Linked DNA regions of Tribolium castaneum. The protein of the gene in region 4 interacts with the protein of the main gene of each other region in a biochemical or structural test. Links are inferred from orthologs where the notes say so. Each region holds a gene or a part of one and is shown on either strand. Other genes may lie near its edges. The genes, in order: UbcE2H, ubiquitin-conjugating enzyme E2 J1, ubiquitin-conjugating enzyme E2 W and Uba1.

The links.
Region 1: of the proteins of Uba1 (region 4) and UbcE2H, one has a biochemical effect on the other in vitro, tested with the Homo sapiens proteins (3 studies listed by BioGRID, with this or other methods). The link is inferred for Tribolium castaneum from reciprocal best matches to the Homo sapiens genes UBA1 and UBE2H.
Region 2: the proteins of Uba1 (region 4) and ubiquitin-conjugating enzyme E2 J1 form a complex in vitro, tested with the Homo sapiens proteins (2 studies listed by BioGRID, with this or other methods). The link is inferred for Tribolium castaneum from reciprocal best matches to the Homo sapiens genes UBA1 and UBE2J1.
Region 3: of the proteins of Uba1 (region 4) and ubiquitin-conjugating enzyme E2 W, one has a biochemical effect on the other in vitro, tested with the Homo sapiens proteins (5 studies listed by BioGRID, with this or other methods). The link is inferred for Tribolium castaneum from reciprocal best matches to the Homo sapiens genes UBA1 and UBE2W.

Annotation. Positions count from the first base shown.
Region 1 is NC_087403.1:5,360,970-5,365,424, forward strand, and holds UbcE2H (ubiquitin-conjugating enzyme E2 H), read right to left. Parts: upstream 2,531-4,455; 5' UTR 2,386-2,530; coding exon 2,333-2,385; intron 2,114-2,332; coding exon 2,037-2,113; intron 1,986-2,036; coding exon 1,818-1,985; intron 1,767-1,817; coding exon 1,638-1,766; intron 1,589-1,637; coding exon 1,470-1,588; 3' UTR 1,329-1,469; downstream 1-1,328. UniProt on the Homo sapiens protein: Accepts ubiquitin from the E1 complex and catalyzes its covalent attachment to other proteins. E2 ubiquitin conjugating enzyme that transfers ubiquitin to MAEA, a core component of the CTLH E3 ubiquitin-protein ligase complex.
Region 2 is NC_087394.1:12,100,716-12,106,128, forward strand, and holds the start of ubiquitin-conjugating enzyme E2 J1, read left to right. Parts: upstream 1-2,260; 5' UTR 2,261-2,357; coding exon 2,358-2,394; intron 2,395-2,445; coding exon 2,446-2,651; intron 2,652-2,705; coding exon 2,706-3,014; intron 3,015-5,140; coding exon 5,141-5,310; intron 5,311-5,368; coding exon 5,369-5,413. UniProt on the Homo sapiens protein: Catalyzes the covalent attachment of ubiquitin to other proteins. Functions in the selective degradation of misfolded membrane proteins from the endoplasmic reticulum (ERAD) and is essential for cells to recover from ER stress.
Region 3 is NC_087394.1:30,472,640-30,477,158, reverse strand, and holds ubiquitin-conjugating enzyme E2 W, read right to left. Parts: upstream 2,393-4,519; 5' UTR 2,235-2,392; intron 2,179-2,234; 5' UTR 2,130-2,178; coding exon 2,106-2,129; intron 2,054-2,105; coding exon 1,962-2,053; intron 1,912-1,961; coding exon 1,809-1,911; intron 1,757-1,808; coding exon 1,601-1,756; intron 1,555-1,600; coding exon 1,479-1,554; intron 1,428-1,478; coding exon 1,414-1,427; 3' UTR 1,213-1,413; downstream 1-1,212. Other genes in the region: NFX1-type zinc finger-containing protein 1, read right to left, coding at 518-584; putative inositol monophosphatase 3, read left to right, coding at 3,535-4,012, 4,066-4,214, 4,267-4,519. UniProt on the Homo sapiens protein: Accepts ubiquitin from the E1 complex and catalyzes its covalent attachment to other proteins.
Region 4 is NC_087394.1:32,756,940-32,762,298, forward strand, and holds the start of Uba1 (ubiquitin-like modifier-activating enzyme 1), read left to right. Parts: upstream 1-1,578; 5' UTR 1,579-1,930; coding exon 1,931-2,594; intron 2,595-5,019; coding exon 5,020-5,359. UniProt on the Homo sapiens protein: Catalyzes the first step in ubiquitin conjugation to mark cellular proteins for degradation through the ubiquitin-proteasome system.

The DNA.
Region 1 (4,455 bases), on a different chromosome or scaffold from region 4:
TCTACCCATCAGTCAGTTTAAAACCAGTTACTAGTGAAGATGCGTTAATTTAACTTCTTTATTTTTCACTTTGTGTTAAATGGGGTGAATTTAGTTAGTTGAGGCGCCTACTGAATGGTTAAATTAAAGGGTCTGTATAGTTAATATTGTAGAATCTTTTATTTTATATTTTATTTATTTAGTTTTGTTTTTATTTCTTTGCTGCACATTATGAATGAACGATTGAATGAAGCGGTAATCAAGTAATCACGTTTAATTCATAGTAGTTTTATCTTAGCATTTGTAAAAACTTTATCTATAAGTGGTATTAGAAACTCTAACTAATGTACAATTGTTGTGGGGAGTGTTTTTGTTTTATTAAAGAACTGGAAATTCGATCCAAGTATTTATTTTTATGTTCGGTTTCACGCGTATGCAACCAATAATACAAAGGTCAAGGGATAACTTTAGGGAATACACCCTTCCAATAAAACGCATAGGATTTTAGGCACATGGAGGCATTTTTTTATTACAAAAATATTATTCCACGTAACTTTTCCTATCCAAATGATTCTTTACGATTTAGTTCATTGCGCAAGAAATGAATATAGATAACGATGGGTTGCAACAATAACTTTTTGCAGACTTAACTGGGATATCATAAAATAAATGTTTTAGGAAACATTAGCTGGGGTGAATGACACTCGTACGTAATAAATTTAGTTCTTTATTACTGTTAAATGCTACCAAATGACCTACACTTATTATCTTAGTAATAATCAAAATTACAAACATTTTCGTGATGTGGATCATGTATGGACAGTGTTATTTTTTGTTTTGATACAAAAACAAAATATCAAAACAAATGTTTGACTATTATTTGACAGTGCAAGAAAAAATGTTGCCAAAGATACATTTATTAAAAATATATTATTAAATTAAAGACAATTAATGTATATACAATGAGACCATAATGATATCAATGGTGTGTGTAACTTGAAAGTTAATACAAGTGACAACAACTTATATCTATTGCACTAACTAAATTAGTAGAGGAAACATACTGTACAAAATGTTTGTGACATTATGTAAATACAACAAATAGTACACATCACAAAAAGTCATAAATTGGTCTTCCAGCTGCGTTATTTGAAACAGAAATCTTTCAATGACGTGTACAACAATGAAAATTTCCTCTACTTCTGACTAAATCTATAAAATAAATATGTCGCTACGCTCATATCATCACAATATTAACATAATAAGGCAAATTAATGAGATATTAATGTTACTACAACTAATTTGTAAATCTAAAAAAACATTTCCTCTGAAAAAAATTAAGCAATTCGCAATACGTGCAACATAATAAACTCTAAAAAATGCAAAACAATTAAATCAAACCTAATACACATCACATGTAACACTAAAAAGAATTTGTTATTCATAGCAAAGAGAGGATTGAGCGAGCTTTTAATGGTAGACAGCCTGCGTTATAATTCCATGTCTTCAGCTTCATTTTCTGAAAAATCTGACATGGTTGATTCGCTATCTGAACTCACGTTCTCCTGCCCCCTTAAAGCCTCCTCAGTTGCATACTTACGTACATACTCTAAAAAATCACAACTTAACACCACAATCGCTTTTTTGTCAACAGTTACCAGAGACTTTCTTCTTATACTCTTCGGGTTTATGTAAATACATTGCTGCTGCGTCCCCATTTAACGGGTCAATGGGGTTCGGGTAAGTTAGCAGCTGTGGAAGAAATGATTCAAAAATGTTTGAAAGATCTGGAAAATAATCTCGGGAATGAAATAAATCTCGCAGTGGCGAGGATATACCATAAAGGGCTGTCCAGGCCTGATTGATCACATCTAAGCAGACAGTCCCTGAGATTTCGTCTATATTTGGATGGTACACTCTATTCATAAAGCCTATACTAGGTGATTTGAAAGGGTAATGCTCAGGTAAATGAACACGGACTTTCCACACTCCCCCTTCATACGGAGCTGGAAATCATCAATGAAAATAATGTAAAATGGGGCAACCGAAGGACTTACTGCCCCTGGGGCCGTAAAATTTGACACAGAATTCGTTCAAGCCGCCAAGTATCGTGACTTCGTGTTTGCTTTCAATTCTAGTCAGTGTTAAGGATTAAAAAACAAGACAATAACACATTGTCAGGAATCTTAAGGTTGTTCATAGATAAAAATAGCACACGTATTCGCCTATTGGAGTACGCACCCAAAAAATAAATGGCCCTATTAACGAGTCACATAACGTGTAATTTCCCAATCAGCTGATACAAAGGATAATGTTGTTGTTTACATTTGGATCGCACACAAAGAAAGGATACAGTTTAATAACATCTGTGTCCATACGTCGTTTTCCTGCACTTGGAGACGACATGGTTCTGTTGTCATAAAAATATTACCATGAATCCAAACTCCGACGAAATTGCTCTTTCACTTGAGACGTAACCACTTCGACACACAATGGCCGTGGCGAAAACCCAACAGGAATTCCACCAATCCACATACGTTTTTCGTGAACCTTCACGTTTGACAACAAACTCCCTACTGCCTCCCTCTTGCGCATGACTCCACAGATTTGGGGGGGAAAAATGTTATTCGAACAAAAGGACGAACAAATTTCTCCAAATTACGCACAATTCTCCACTTTCAATCCCAAACACACAGCGACTCTTTGCCGATCACCGCCAGATTCTATTGTGGCGATTACGCTAATTATCTCGCATTTTTTCAATCACTCACGCGTGCTTTAAATTATTCATAACATCGCACAATTTTCGACACAATTCCAAATTGTTTACCGAGATTAATTCCTCTTAATTGGAAATTTAAATGAGGTGGCATAAATTATAACGGGGGCGGTTTATGAGTCTGCGCTCATCTCGATCGTGACTTTGCGTTTCAGATTTTCCACTTTTTACCATTAATGACCACTCAACTGAAATCGCTAAAACATTATTGAGCGGTTGTTTGCAACCATCTCGGCTTTATTAAAATACGAAAACCGCACAATTTTGATAAATTGCCAATTACACAAATAAACCAAAAATAAATCTGGCACTCGTAATCAGCTTTTTCACTTTTTTCTACCATAAATGGTCGCTAAGACTTGCCAATTTCAAGATAGCAGGTACGCTTGTTATCTGACGTTATTCATGCAATTTGTTCTTGATACCGTTGTTTATTTGTTTTTGTTGTAAATATTTTTTTATTTGTAACACAGTAACGAATAACAAATAACAATTTAGTGATATGTCAAAGGACACATAGGCACATTTGTGGTTTTCGAAGCTGTTTTTAATATTATATTTTACTATTAAAACTAGCCGAATTACGAAAAGAAACCATCAATTAAAAAAAAAACTGCCAAAAACTCAAATCACTGTCTAAATCTTTCATCCCCATTCAATTTATTTTTATTATTTTGCTACAAACTGTAGCGGAAGTGCATATTAATTTTTTAAATGAGGTGTTGAAAAGTGATAGTTTCAGTGACTTTGTCTTTAATTTCAATTTATGAGTCCCTTGCTGTAACTTTAATGCAAATAAAGTTTTTTAATGGTGCTGTTTTTATTTTATCTTTTAATGTCTTGCTACAAACAGTAGCCAAATGAAGGTAGGTGTATTTTTTTCTATTTATCTTGTGAGGTGTTGAATTTAATAGTTTAATTGCTATATATTATAACGTATTGTGTATTCTTTATTTTGTATAATATTGATAATAGTCGCTTGTTGTAACTTCCATACAAATAAAGATTTTTCAACGGTGTTGTTTTATTTTTTTTTATGTTTTGCTACAAACATTAGCCAACGCAGAAACCATATGAAGGTAGGTGCTTTTTTTATTTATATATTATACCGTATTGTATATTCTTTATTTTGTATAATATTTATAACAGCTTGTTGTAGCTCTCATGCAAATAAATTATTTTTTTATTGTTTTTGTTTTTAATTTATTTTTAATGCCTTGCTACAAACAGTAGCATAAGCAAATGTCATATCAAAGGTGAGTGCATTTTATTTAACGCTAAGTGAAAAAAAAACGATTTTTGTGTTGTATTTTTTCATTTCACAAACCAATAATTCCTTTATCCCTTTATTTTGTAATAATCATTGTTTACCTCATCCTTACTTCCTTTTTTCCTGGCAAGAATGCTCTAAACTTCCACGTGGTTCTTGCTGGAGAAATTAGTTAGACGGTAATGGATATAAGTTTCGAAATAAAAACCAGTTGTTCTGGCAATACCTTTATTGAAAAGTACAAAACTTGTCTTACAATTTTGATAAATTGCCTATCACACCACTAAACCGAAAAATAAATAAATCTATGCAATCAACAATCAGTCAGTATATACAAACAGTAACTTAAACCTACGAACGGAAGATTTCTTGACTAACATCGTACTTCAAAAATTTGGTACATTTACCACCTAATGATCAAAACGGT
Region 2 (5,413 bases), about 21 Mb from region 4:
AACTTTTTCATCAATTTGAATTCTTCCAACATTAGCTGTAACTTTAAACTGGTATAGACTTATGGGCGTCTTCTCTCACACTGTTTTTCCAGATAAATTTGTAGCAGATTGTTTCAACTTTGTTGGCTTATTCACTTATTTCACTTATTGAAAATGGTGCGATGGTAGCTCAAGATACAAATTCTGGGACAATGCTTTAATTTTTTTATTGAAATCACGGATCGGTGTGTTTTTTTATCTAAAATTATTATAATTGCATCTCCGTCTATACACTAAATATAGACTTTTTGTTGGAACATTTTAATATCTAAACAAGAATGTTTGAACAGTTAACTCTTTTCCTGGCAGCAGTCATCCCTGCAGCAAAACTCTTTTTATTGAAATCACGGATTGGTATGATTTTTTTTAATCTGAAATTATTATAATTGCACCTCCGTCTACACCCTAAATATAGACTTTTTGTTGGAACATTTTAATATCTAAACAAGAATGTTTGAACAGTTAACTCTTTTCCTGGCTTCAGTCATCCCTGCAGCAAAACTTTTTTTAATAAAATTTACTTAAAATTAAAAACTTAAGCATATTTAATCTCGTGGAATTATTTTACTCTTCATAGCAAAAATTAAAAACATCCGCAACACTTTTACATATTTGTAAATTATTGAAAAAATGTCACACTGCAGCTCGATTTATTTAAGCTCCACTTACTTGTATATCTGTTAAGCCTACAGCTTTGTTAAGCGTAACTCATTAAAAGTTACTCATAACTTTATCATATTTTTCGAAAGTTTACCCGATTAAAAATGAAAGTAATGAACTAAAATCTGTTTTCTGCGATGATTACGAGAAACTGTGAGAGAGACAAAAAATGTTACTAAAAGTTTTCATAAAAACCGATGTTCTTTTGATTGCTATTAAAGACTATTCAAACCTTCGGTTATCGAATGCAAAAAAAAATCAAATTGGCGCCAATTTCTCAATTTCTGGAAGTTCGAACATTTTGAAAAAAATTATTACTTGAACTCAGAATGGTCGATTTGGTTTGTATACAAAACTTTAATTTGCAATTTTACATAATCTAATACAAAAAACTGACTACCACTTTTCGTAAGTTTGACCTAGAGAAAAATTTTGGCAATTTTCACATATTATACCGAGCAACTGTTAATGATTGTGACTTTTGTGGTCAAGTTGATAACGAATTTGTAAACTTATGACTGTCAGATGAAACAGCTCCATACAAAAAGCTAGCAGGGAGGCCAATAACTCAATGTTGCTAATACATTTTTTTGCCTCGATCATTAAAAGTCACAGTGACACCGAATTATGGTAGGAGATATCTTTTAGAAAAAAAATCCTCATACCAGATGGATCTAATCTGTTGTTTAGGGTTTTCCCCTAATTTTTTTCGATACCTATGGTTTGTTATACTATTTCTATCCAATAATTAAGTGAAAAACAAGTTACTAACACTCCGTGATTCAAGTAGTATCGGACCAAATTTTAATTTTTCCTTTAAAAAGTTTTATTTTTCGTTTTGATGAATCACAATATTTTGGATTAAGCGCCTATTAATAATCAACTACGAATATTTACATTTACCTGAGAAAAATTGTAAACCCTTCGTCTAGTGAATGTCTTCAAGCGACCAGAAACAAATCCACTATCAACACTAAATAATTAGTAGAACACAAACCAAAAACGATTATGAACACATAACAAACGTTTTTAAACGAAATTAATAATAAATCTTTAGCACAACACGTTTTTACTTCGGATTTGACAACACCACAGAACATGACAGGTGCAAAATCGGCGGGGAATTACTGTAGTGCTGAAATACTACCAACCTAACAGTACCTAGGCACTAAACACCCAGATCTAAGTGATTTTATTACAGTCGCAGGCCTCGTAAAATTACGTGAAACACCTTGTATTTGCAATTGGGTGATTTTGTTTAGTTCACTCTATAATCTGTATATCTAAGCCAGCTCTAACGAAATATACAGAGTTGAAAGTGGTATTGTTTTTTCTAACCTCAATCATTTTAAACTACTGACGACTCACGTTAAATAAAACTGAAAAATAACCACTTATCTACAAATTACCTACCTTTTAAATTCCTGATAGACGTTTCACCAATCTCAACGAGCCACAACGTTTCTGCTGTTGAAAGTCCACGTTTGTAATTTGCAGAATCAGCTGATTGTTTTGACAGTTCGCCTAAACAAGAAACATGACAAGTTTTTGTACCCGTTTCGGCACTTCTTAAATATTTCTGTACAAAATTAGTGTTGTCTTTATCCTTACTTTTAGTACAAACGTTCAGTTTATTAGTGATTGAGACCTACCAAAGCATGTCGTTAGAAAATAAGTATAACCTAAAAAGCCCAGGTAAGAAATCGGATATTTAAGTGATTCTCGACAAATTTCCAATGTAAACAGGGGTGAAACGTCTCATGCGCGAAGCGCGAGAACTGGCCGAACCCACAGAAGAATATTTCGCCCATCCGTTGGAAGACAACTTGTTTGAATGGCATTTCACAGTGCGAGGCCCCCCTAGCACGGAGTTTGAGGGCGGTTTCTACCACGGACGTATTCTTTTACCCTCACAGTATCCCATGCAGCCCCCCAATATTATTTTGTTAACAGTGAGTCAATTTTGTAATAATTGTTCATTGTTATTTCATTCTGCAAACTCGTAGCCAAATGGGCGCTTCGAGGTGAACAAAAAAATTTGCTTGTCTATCTCTGGACATCACCCGGAGAGCTGGCAACCGTCGTGGTCGATAAGAACAGCCTTGTTGGCTTTAATTGCTTTCATGCCGACTCCTGCAGCCGGCACGATTGGTTCCTTGGACTACACCCCAGAAGAAAGACAGATTTTAGCAAAGAAATCCATCAATTGGGAGTGTCAAATTTGCGGTAAAATTGCAGAGACGCTTTCTTCGCAGTCAAAATCGTCAAATATTACTCAGGAAGAGGCTTCCCTTATCCAGCAGATTGCTCTCAAGGTGAGTAAATAATTTTTTTAATTGAAGACTTTTTCGCAAAAGAAAACGCGAGTATTTATATTTTTTTAAATCTGTAAACTATATTTAAAAAAATAGGCTTTTGGGATTTAAAAACTATTTTTTAATCGTACTGAAAAATCTGCAAATAATTTCAAAAGACTTATAGTTTTTACCAGCGAATAGGGATGGTTTTTACCATGTTTTTATGTTTTTGTGTGTTTCAACATGTTTTTCAGTCCGAAACGCAGTTCTTTCGCGTAATATCTAAAAAGTAATTTGCTATCAAAACCACATGTTTATGTGTCATTTCTGTTGTTTTAAGGTATTTTCTTATCAACAATTTAACATTTTTAAGGACATATTTTTGTTATATGGTATACGAGTGGTGTAAATCTTATTTTAACGAAAGGTACGTTATTTCTGAACAATTTTTATATCTCATAATTTTTTGTATCAGCATTGGTTTTTGAGTACAAAAATAATTTAAGTAATTTCTAAGGTTGCCATCTAATACAAAGACTGACCCAAAAGTAGCGTACAAAATTTATATCTTTGTTATGTCATTAAAAAAAAAACAGGTCGATTTAATTTTTTTAAATGCTACATTTTGATTATATTATATTTATGATGTCATTCGTTTTTGAGTTGTGACATAATTCTTAATTTTTTTTTAATGACAACTGACATTTTTGTTCACTGTTTTAGAAAGTAAAGATGTGCTTTTTCTAAAACAGTAAACAAAAATGTCAGTTATAATCTAGCTGATAATAAAAAACAAAATTAAAAATTAAACATAATGAGCTTTATTTCTTTGTTCTCGATTTATTTTATAAGCGGCAATTGTTTTTTATATTTTTTTATAATTATCATGAAAATACTTAAGAACTAATAGGAAGACTTTACACAAAAAAATAAGAATAATAAGAACGAGAAGATAAAGCTTTTTGTGTAATACTCTCACTAACTTTTATAACTTTTTTATTTTATTTTCTTCTTTCTTTTTAATTGTTTTATACTTATCAGAAAGATAGAAATGTATACTATCTAAAACACCAATCAAAAATATCAGTTGTCATTTAAAAAAATTAAAAATGACGTCGTTACTCAAAAAAGAATGATGTCAGAAATATCAATATGATGTCAAAATGTAGCATTTAAAGAAATAAAAACGCGTGTTTGAGGATTTTTTTGAAAAATGATTCAAAACAAAGATACGATTTTTATGCATGACTTTTGGTTCAGTCTTTATTTTTCTTTCTCTTAAATTTTTTTATACTTACCAGGAAGTCAGAAATATATTACCTATAAAAAACTATAAAAACACCAAAATCGTATTTTCTCTCAAAATTAGCTATTATAAATTATTCAATTACTTTATGAGAGATCTAAGCATTCATAACTATTCTAAATTAAATTGGACGTGTTGGGGGATTTTTTTGAAAAATGATACGGTTTTGCATTACTTATGTTTTAGCTTCTTTATGTAAGTTTATGTTAATTATTTATTTATGTTTATGTTTATTATGTAAATAATTAATTAGTTATTAATTTAAACAAAAAAAGGCATTTTCCACACAGTTGTGAAGTGGTTGTGAACTTATCTAAAACAACTAATTAATGTCTACACTGTTGTTTTGGAAAATTAATAAGATATATTAGATTTTATAAGACACAGAAATTGTTCAAAAATAATGGATCTTTCAAATAAAAAAATGGGTATAAAAGAATGAACATATAAGAAAAATATGGCTTCAGATATATAAAATTGGTTATAAGTAAGTACTTTACAATAGTAAACAAATGAAATATCACGCAAGTTACGTGTATCAAATTTCATTTAAAAAAGTAAGTTGTGAAGAAAAACCAAAATAATTTTTGAACTTTTAAACAGTGTAACTTTGGTTAAATCGCTTTATTTTGATTTTTGACCTGCGGAGTCTCTCGTTCCTTTTTGTCATCTTTTCGTTACACCCTGTATTATTCTTGATTGTTTTATTGACTGGGCAAAGAGGTTATAGACATGTGATTCTATTTTCAACAAGAATACGGTTCTAGATCTCTATTTAAAATATCATACTCGTAACTACTCATAACTGAACAAAATTGTAAAATTCCGTTATTTCAAGGCGGAGGAAGATGCAAACCGCAAAGAAAAATCTGCAGATAAAAAAGAAGATTCTGATGAGACTAATGTTAGACAGAGAGTAACAATAAACACCCCAAGTGCTGAAACTATAAATGAACCGATTACGGATGTTATAATGGAAACGGAAGTTTCAATTAATCCAAGTACTGTGTAAGTATTAGCATAAAAACCATGTAATGTTTGTTTGTAATTATTGTAACACTTTTAGAGATCAAGTATTCAATGTCGTTGTGTGGGTCATCGTATTTGTGAT
Region 3 (4,519 bases), about 2.3 Mb from region 4:
CTCGAAAGCAAAAGACCAAAATAACTCCATTGGCAGAGGTCTGAGGTATACAACAGATGCCTGACTCCAGGGGAATTCTAATAATAAACATTGATTTAAGTCCTTTTGTTCTTAAGCAGTAATATAAATTTACAGAAATAGTAGCAGTAATATTAACAATAGTACTACATTATTTTATTACAAACAAGCGCCTGGAAATTGCACTACGGGTGAGGATTCAAAAGCTCAGAAGGTTACATAACCAAGAGTCACAACCTCGTAGTTATTAAAATAGTGGAGTCCGAGGGTGTAATAAAATTCCTACCAAAGTTTTTTCTAACAAATACCTATTAAATGGTACCACAGCAAATTGTTATCCGATTAAGCGATGGAATATTTAGTATAGTTATTTCGTCTAAATTAAAATATTTGTTTTCACACAGTGTAATTGGAACTCTTTTTTTATTGTGCCCATTTATAGTCTTTATGATTTATAAAAAGATTCACTTAATACTTATATTGGTTCACATTTTCTTACCTGTGGAATTTCTCCAACTGCTTCCGGCCCCTGCTGGAACTTCAGGTTTTGGTTTTTCGGGATTCATACCAAATTAATAGCAGGTAATAATTAAGTAACAAAGTACAAGGCTCATCAAGACAAAGACAAAGGTAAAATTAATATTGCACGTTGCAACACACTTTATCCAGACAATGACGATGACGTGTTACCAAATTGCATTTGAACCAATGTACTTTTATTCAAACCTTCTTAGCCTTTATGGTTTATATTCACTTCAAAAAAAAACACTACCGCAGCTACTACCAAAAACAAAAGGTAACCCAGAAGAGCCTTTTAGTACATCATCAAAATTTTGTATCTGAGTTCGTGCTTAGATACGTCTTTAAATCGAAAATTTAATTTTGCTGCACCCACATGACACGTAACATACTATTTCGAATGCGCTTTGATAAATGTCAAGTGATTGTCTTCACATATGTGGGTAAATCCCCGACCACGCCTTTAATACCAACCTAACGAAAATTAGGTGCGTGTATGTTGGGTTGCGTTTATTTTCTCCTAATTTTTTTTTCTCATTTATTTATCAGAAACGAGTCCGATAATTAAGGAATCCTTTAAAACAAAGATTTTTCGGTTTTGATTTTGTTAATTGATAGACGTAAAATTTGTACACGGGTAAGAAATAAGCAACAGCCCAGGGCGGGTTTAAAATATTAATTTTAACTCTTATATTTAATTAATTACAACACAACATCTGGAGGACAGGCACTATGTAAAAACTGTTAATCCAATTCTAAAGATATTTTATAATTAGCTTTGTCATAATAAATAACATCTATTAAAAATTTAAAACTAACAGCATCCAGCGTAACAGAATCATTAAAATCACAAGACCATAAGTTATTTATATAGTTTCATACAGAATCATCTGAAACATAAAATAATCAGGAATTGTGGGTTACATTATAGGAGATAATACCGTGATACCACCACTTTGTCTTCTTTGGATTTTTATTGCAAGTTTTTACATAGAAAGCATTATCGGGAGGTCTTTGCTGTAAAACAAGATTAAAAATACTGTAATACTAAATAAGGTCTCACCTTTTCTTTACAACTACTGAGCATAGAAACAATTGAAAGACAAACAGACTGAACAGACAGTGCAGGAGACCAATCATCTGTTAATATGGAAAGGCAAATATGTCCATTGCTGTAAATATGCGGGTGAACTGGAATGTTATTGCCTACAAACGTCACCTGGAACGCAAACAATATAAACACAATACTAGTCTAACAAAAAATCCCATACTTCTGGTGAATCAAAGGGATATTTGTTACTAAATTTAAACTGCAATTGAAAACGTTCTCCTTCGTACAATGTACCTGCAGCCCCTTCCATATTAATGATCCAACTAGAAGTCATGTATTTAGCATTGTTATTGGCAGTTTATTGCTAACTTACTGCAATAAATTTTGCTCTGCCAGATCGAAGTCGACTTCAACTCCTGGTGGAGGTTCTTTCATCAGTGACATGAGCTCCTTTTGCAACCTTCTCTAAATTGAGAGATTTCGTGAAGAGGTTAGAAAAACAATGCAATTTACTTACTTCAGACGGCGACAACCCTGCCATTTTGGAATTAACTTTTCATCATACCACAGATTAGATTGTGAGATTTTAACTGAACACAGATCAACAGACTTTAATTTAGCTTCAAATAAATAGCCAAAAACTTACTTTTGACGTTCAAAACAACCGACCAAATTACCTACTGTCCCCCAATGCTCCTCAATTCACGAACAATGGACAGATAACCATGGTTCCAAAGTAAATAATTCTATTATTCATTCCCGCCAGTGGCGGAGAGACCATGGGGACAAATCGAGGATTTTTTTGCCAGCCTCAACGATTTGTCTTATGTATACACTACTATAGAAAAACCAAGACCCAAGTGCCCTATGGTGAACGCTTTTTTAAAAGATTCATCAAAAGTGTCGAATTTTTTTAATACCACAATTTGACTGATTTGATTTTCCGCTATGTCACAGAAAAGTTATATTTCTATTTTCGGTTTGACAACTCATATAAAAGTTAATGCCAAGAGTACCAAATTTCTACTACAATGGTTTTTATGAAAGTGAACCGAATATAGTTGTCTATTAATAAGGGCTTAATCCTAAATATAAAATAAAACGTTATTAAAAAAAAACTAATTTTGGTTCATTTTCATAAAAAACATTGTGGCGGAATTAACTAAGATTTTACTATGACAACTCATATAAAAGTTAATGCCAAGAGTACCCAATTTCCACCAAAATGTTTTTTTATAAAAATGAACTGAATGTAAAATTTGGTCCGGTAGTACTTGAATTGCAGAGTGTTAAGAAGTTGTTTTTTACTTAATTATTGACCGGAATTAGCAGGAAAGCAAATATATATATTCATTTCAGTTTACAGTAGAATTTTGCAACAGCATTTTTTGATTAAAAGGAGCACAAATTGAGAGTTTTTGGTGGGTTTTCTTAGCTCAAAGTGTGTCGCTGAGATTAAGTTTAACATAGATTTTTTTTCCTAAACAAAAACTCCATGGAGCGCAGCGACATTTGACGTAAGTTGGCTATGATTGTTTTATACAATATTTGATAACCACCCGGTGGATTTCTAAAACAAATGTAAAATTTAAATTGGGAAGCAAATAGTACTGCTTGTGGTAGTGCTTTTATTATTATTATCACAGTTATTATCTGTATTATGAAAAAAATTTCGCACGCCTATGCCTATGCCCTATCCTTGAAAATGACGTTTAGCGTTTGGTGATTTTGTGACTAACTTCACCATTATTGTGGTTGAAGGTTTTTTTGATTATTTGTAAGGTGCAAAAATGCGATGACGTTTGTTTCTAAATAGTCTTAAGATAATTGTTATTCAACTGTAAGACCGGTGGTATTGAATGATATTGGTTGATTAATTGAAAATATTTTAGTAAATAAGTACAAAAAGCGAATGATGTAGATAGAGACTCATCGGCTGCATAACAATGAATCTTGGGGGTGTTATCCGACTAAACAAGACAGGGCTGTGTGTAATATCGGGAGCTGTGCTGATATTGTTTATTTACGTGTTTACTACAAGTTCAAATAATGATCCTCCAAGCGTTAAGATAAATTTAAAGCAGCTCTTGGAGGTAGCAATTAAGGCAGCGGAAAATGGGGGCAAAGAAGTGGTTGCGAACAAGGACAATTTACAAGTAAAAAGCAAAGGGTTGACGAAAGAAGGAATGCAAGATAGGGTCACCACTGCAGATTATTCGTCACACTGTGCTATTATGAAAACTTTGAAACATGCATATCCCACCCTGCATATAATTTCAGAGGAGAAAAAGGTCCAGTGTGACGACAGAGAAATCGATTACTTGGGACATGTAACCATTCCTAAGAGCTTAGATGACCATTTGGAAGAAATTAGGGATATTTCTGTATGGATTGATCCACTAGATGCAACTTATGAATACACTGGTACTGTACTAAATACTTGCATTTTAAGCATTTGTTAAGTGAATCTTTGTTAGGAAAATTGTACAAGTATGTGACTACAATGGTTTGCGTTGCTGTAAAAGAAGAACCTGTTATTGGTGTCATTCACAAACCTTTTAACACTGAATCTCACACATTTTGGGCATGGGTTGGCAAAGCAAAATCTTCAAACTTAAAATATGCGGTAGGTATACAACACTGTCACATGGTGATCAGGTTATAAATTTGTCTTTTAGAGGAGCAAGAGTGAAAATATAAAGATTATAATCTCAATGTCGCACAGCGGTGAAATAAAGAAAGTTTTGAGTGAAAAAATGAAAAATGTGGACATAATTGAAGCCGCCGGTGCTGGCTATAAAGCTTTGGAAGTTGCCTTGGGCAATGTGGACGCTTATTTGCACACAACTGCCATCAAGAAGTGGGATATTTGTGCAGGAAACGCTATAATAAAGGCAGTGGGAGGTAAAATGACAACGAAATTTAACGAAT
Region 4 (5,359 bases):
CGAGTGATACTGTAGCAATACATAATCTTATTTTAGTACGTTCTCCCATATTGTACCAATAGTTAATTTGAAGACACACTGTAGAATTAAACACTTGGAATATTCAAATTGTTACTATTAAAACAAGGTACAAATATACATTATTTTACTAGAAAATTGTGTTTATTTATCCTAAAATGGTGATTGGTGAAGGTTTCACAAAAATGAGGTAAGTATATCTTACACTGATATTATAGCTTCAGAAAATGTGAATTCTTCTCTTGACACAATTTTAATTGATCATTTTGAATGCAAACGAAATTTGTTATCGACTGACAAAGTAATAGCCATTGTGTTGAAAAAATTGATTAGATTAAACGCATAAATCACTTTATTCATCTAGTCTATTTCATGATTATCCTAAATCTTATCAAACAGTGGGAACTAATTTAATTTTAAAGTGGTGTTGATCGCTGGAAATTATTCCACTCGTGTGAATTTGGTAAGAATTAATTATTGTTGCCCTAATTAGGTACATTAGAAAAACAAATTCTAACAAGTAGTGCAAACAGTAAATTATGTTACCTTGTCACATCGATATAGAGCAAAATGATCATTTTCGTGGTGTTGTCCTTTCTTACAGGAATTTTCGTATGGTTTGTGGGAAAATTATTTTCGAGTAAATCGCTGTAAGTACTTTGTATATTTATTTAGATAAATTTAAGATGTTAAAGTTTACAACTCACACAAAAAAACATTCTAAAAATGAGCCATTGGTTAATTTTCTATTGTAATGCTATTGACAAATTTCGGGCCCACAAAACCATCACAAAAATAAACAATATTTTTGACTTACGTCATACTTGATACCTCAAAAAGGAGAGTGATCTTAAAAATATCTAATTATTGTCATTCAAAACGTGTTCAGGCATAAAATAATGCAAATGTTGCTCATATTTAATCAAAAACCTAGCAGATTAGTCACAAATGTTTATCACTTATCGCAGTTTTCCAGAACGTAGGTATGATTTATAAGTAATTATTAATTGTTATTAGCGAGTGCGGTGACATTATTTAACGATGCAAAATACAAAAAAAAAAAAACGTAAAGAAAGTATTGACCTTCCAAGCTACTGAAATACAAAGTTGAATGATTAAGTGTACAAAAATCGCCCTCCAATTTTGTAAAAACTGCTGCGTGACGGTAATACTTGGAATAATTTTTAATTTTCACTCTTTTTGTACCGTAAAATGCTGCTATTAAGAGTGAAATTTGTTATTGGAATAATTTAAAAAAATATCATTTTCAAACATTTTGACAATGACAATTCGTCAATGCTACAAATCGAAATGCAGGTAATACAAAACTCCCTACATTTTCAATTTTATCGTTTTTTTATGGACACAATGAAGGCAAAATAAAAAACGCATATTTCAGGTGTTTTATAAGACTTATTATCGCAACCATTGGGGCACTCCTCATCGGCACTAATTTTAAATGTGTTAAACACCGCCAGTAATGAGTACAATGGCACCAACAAAACAAATTTAAAAATTGTCAATCATGGCCTACGACGATACGGCCCCAATTTTCCTCCACAACCTTTCAAAATTAACGTAACTGTCAAAACAGATGTTAAAATGTTAAACAGTGTGCAGTCACTTGGGTCGTTTCGGTGCCCCCATTGCTCTGCTTAACAATCAGTGTGAATCTTTCGCGACAATTTCCAATTTAGCGCGTAAGTTTGCAGAATTGTGGGAGTGCGTGAATCACGCATTCCGGCATGCGCATTCGGCCCGTGGTCTCTTTGTTCGTTCGTTGTGCGCCTTCAGCCAGCGTTGTGTCTAAATCCAAGTGAAAAAACCGGCCAATTGACATTGCTATATGGTTATCAGCGCGCAAATTCCTCGATTGACCCGCAACTAATCAAACTGTGTCCTTTCGTGTCCGATGTCTAGTGCTGAAATCGCCGAAGGCTCCGTCGATCCCCCAACTAAGAAGCGGAAGCTTGACTCGTGCCCGATTTCAACCGACATGGCGAACAACGGCGCTTCCGGATCGTCTCAGCAGGACATCGACGAGGGTCTGTACTCGCGCCAGCTCTACGTCCTGGGGCACGACGCCATGCGGCGCATGGCCTCCAGCGACGTGCTGGTCTCAGGCCTGGGCGGGCTCGGCGTCGAGGTGGCCAAGAACGTCATCCTCGGCGGGGTCAAGTCCGTCACGTTGCATGACGAAGCCGTTTGCAGCGTCGCCGACCTCTCGTCGCAGTTCTACTTCACCGAAGCCGACGTGGGCAAGAACAGGGCCGAGGTCTGCTGCAAGCAGCTGGCGGAGCTCAACACCTACGTCCCCACGAAGGCCTACACGGGCCCCCTGACGCCGGACTTCATCCGCAAGTTCCGAGTCGTTGTCCTGACCAATAGTTGTCTCGCTGAGCAGATGCAAATCAGCGAAATCACACATGCCAGTAACATTGCGCTCATTGTGGCCGATACGAGGGGGCTCTTTGCCCAAGTGTTCTGTGATTTCGGGGATGCTTTCACGGTCGTTGACACCAACGGGGAGTCGCCGGTCTCGGCGATGATCGCTGATATTTCCACCGATAAAGAAGGTGGGTACAAAGAACCTAATGGAAGGCATTGTTACACAATGACTAATCTTGACGTTGTACGTCGGGTTATATTGGCAATTATTGTGCAATCAACCTGATCATGTGGCTAAAATTAATCCGATGTTAGAAGTTTGCCTTTGTTTTCCTTGCGATGTGCGAAGGTATGGAGTGAAAATCCCCAAAGGGCACTATATCAGTACTCAAATACCGTATGGTCAAATAAATCTGTCATCCTAATAAATTAAACATAATTCGAGACTATTCATAAAACCTAAAGCCATTTATTGGCTTACCAAAGTAGCAGTCGAATGGCATTAAACTTTGTGTAAATGTTGAGAAAATGTTGTAAAAAACATGTGATTTTATTAAAAATAGATGCTGTACTATCCCTTTTTTCCTCCTGTAAACTACCACTTGTGTGGAGGGTAGGAGGTTGATATTTTGAAGGTGAGCTGTATATTTATTAAAAAAATCTTTAGGTTTGTTAGTTAAATACCGGGTCAAGAAATAACCCACTATTGACTCACCCTGTACTTCAAACAATATCTTACCTAATAGAACAACTTGGTAAGATCAGCTAAAGAAGCACTGCAATCACAAAACTTCTATAATTTTATCTTGATGCAACTTAAATGATCTCCAAGCATTCAGTATTCAACTATTTTATTAAATAAAATAGCTTAAAATAGAGATTTTTTATTTTATTTTTAAACGAAACTTTTTTAAATTCATATTCGATACAGTTCTGAGTAATAATGACACCATTTCATACTAAGATTTATTTAAATGTAAGTCGTCTGAAAACTAGATCAAATATTTTTGATTGCAACTAAGAAAATTTCAGAAATTGATATTGTTGTTAAAGCATAAATTACATTATTGAAGCCACATTTTTTATGGAAACCAAAAGAAAACTCTGTATTTTTTTATTCGAAAATTGGTTTAAACACTTTTCCTTTTCCCATTCTCAGTACAGTAAAGCTTTGTCAAATTTTAGTATCGTAATCTAAAAAGTCTTATTTTGTCAATTTTTTTATGCTGTTGAAAAATTATTATGTCTGTTTTTAATGACCCAAATGTATCAGGACAAATCCAATTTAAATGTTCAATCTTATTTTTATCGATAAAGTGGGTAACACAATGTTAACATGAAAAAAATTAAAAATCTGGGTCTGGGTTAACTGAATTACACATGACACTCGATTTTTTTTTGTAAAATTTGCCTTTTGAGTCAATTGACAGGCAATTACAGGGTAATTCCATTTTTTACGAGATATAGCTCTCCAAATGTTAGATTTTTCGATTAAGTTTTTGGCAGATCATTTTTTCTTGAATTTAGTTAGCAGGAATGACACTAATTGATGATTTACGTTCAAAACAATTAATCAAAGTAGCAAATTTGACAATAAATTCGCCAATATTGGGAACAGAGGCGCAACATTTAAAAGAGTGTCTCAGGAAAAATATTAAAAATTAAAAGTTAAATTATCAGAAAAAAAATCTAAATTAATTTTTAATGTTAGCGGAACGTCTTTGTGGGCTTTTATCATCAAAAATCAACTATTTGGCTATTATTAATTATTATTATCTATTAGGTATAATTTCTTTTCTCTCGATATGTGATATGTTATTCACATTTGGATTATTAATGATCAAGAAAATTAATAGAGTAGTGAAGCAGCTTACTCGTAATACAGTTTTTATTTGATTATATTGGTTTCTGTTTTATTTCATTGCAAAAGCAGCTATTTAATGATCATTGTTGTAACGTCTATAAACAATGGGTTAATGAATTCGTACTATTTTTAGCTTTTCTACAATTGAAAAAAGATGAAATTTGCTCAAAGACCTCTAAAATTAAATTCTTTCAAATCACTAATTTTCTGTTTTTATTACATGTCATCAAAATACGTATAACAAAAAATGCAAATCAATGTTTTGTATAAAGAGTAGGTATTTGTCTACGCAATTCAAAATAACCATAATTGTGTAAATAAAGTGGTCTGCGTTATAAACATTTATTTTCGTCCTAAGCTAAAAACAAATCGGACATTGAGACAGATACCTTAAAAAAATAAAAGATTAGAAAAATGTTGCATCATTTTTTTAGCGCAATTCTGTCGTGAATCTCACTATCGAGAATTTCAATTGATTTTAGATACGTGTAAGGTAAAGGTCATGCGAAACAACGATGCCGTGTAACAAAACTTCTGTCCTTAATAAACATCGATTTAATGTAATGGATATTGTGGTTATAATTTCAATGCCTAAGTCAATACCACATCACATAAGTTTATTGTCGCCAAGTTGAAGATGTAAAATAAATTTAGTTTCCACTGCCATTAAATGTCATACTTTTATAATTTAATGGTCGAAATATGTTTGAAAATGGTGTTTTTTTCAATGATGTTTTTTTTTCTCAAAGGCATTGTGACCTGCATTGACGACACCCGCCATGGCATGGAAGACGGCGACCACGTCACATTTTCCGAAGTCCAAGGAATGACCGAACTGAACAATTGCAAGCCGATTAAAATCAAAGTGTTAGGCCCTTACACGTTCAGCATCGGCGATACGACCAACTTTTCGAAATACGAGCGTGGCGGTATTGCCACTCAAGTGAAAATGCCCAAAACCTTGTCGTTTAAATCACTCAAAGACTCGCTAAAATCGCCCGAATTTTTGATGACCGATTTCGCGAAATTCGATCATCCACAGCAGCTCCACGTGGCTTTTCAAGCGTTGCACAAATACGTCGAAAAGCA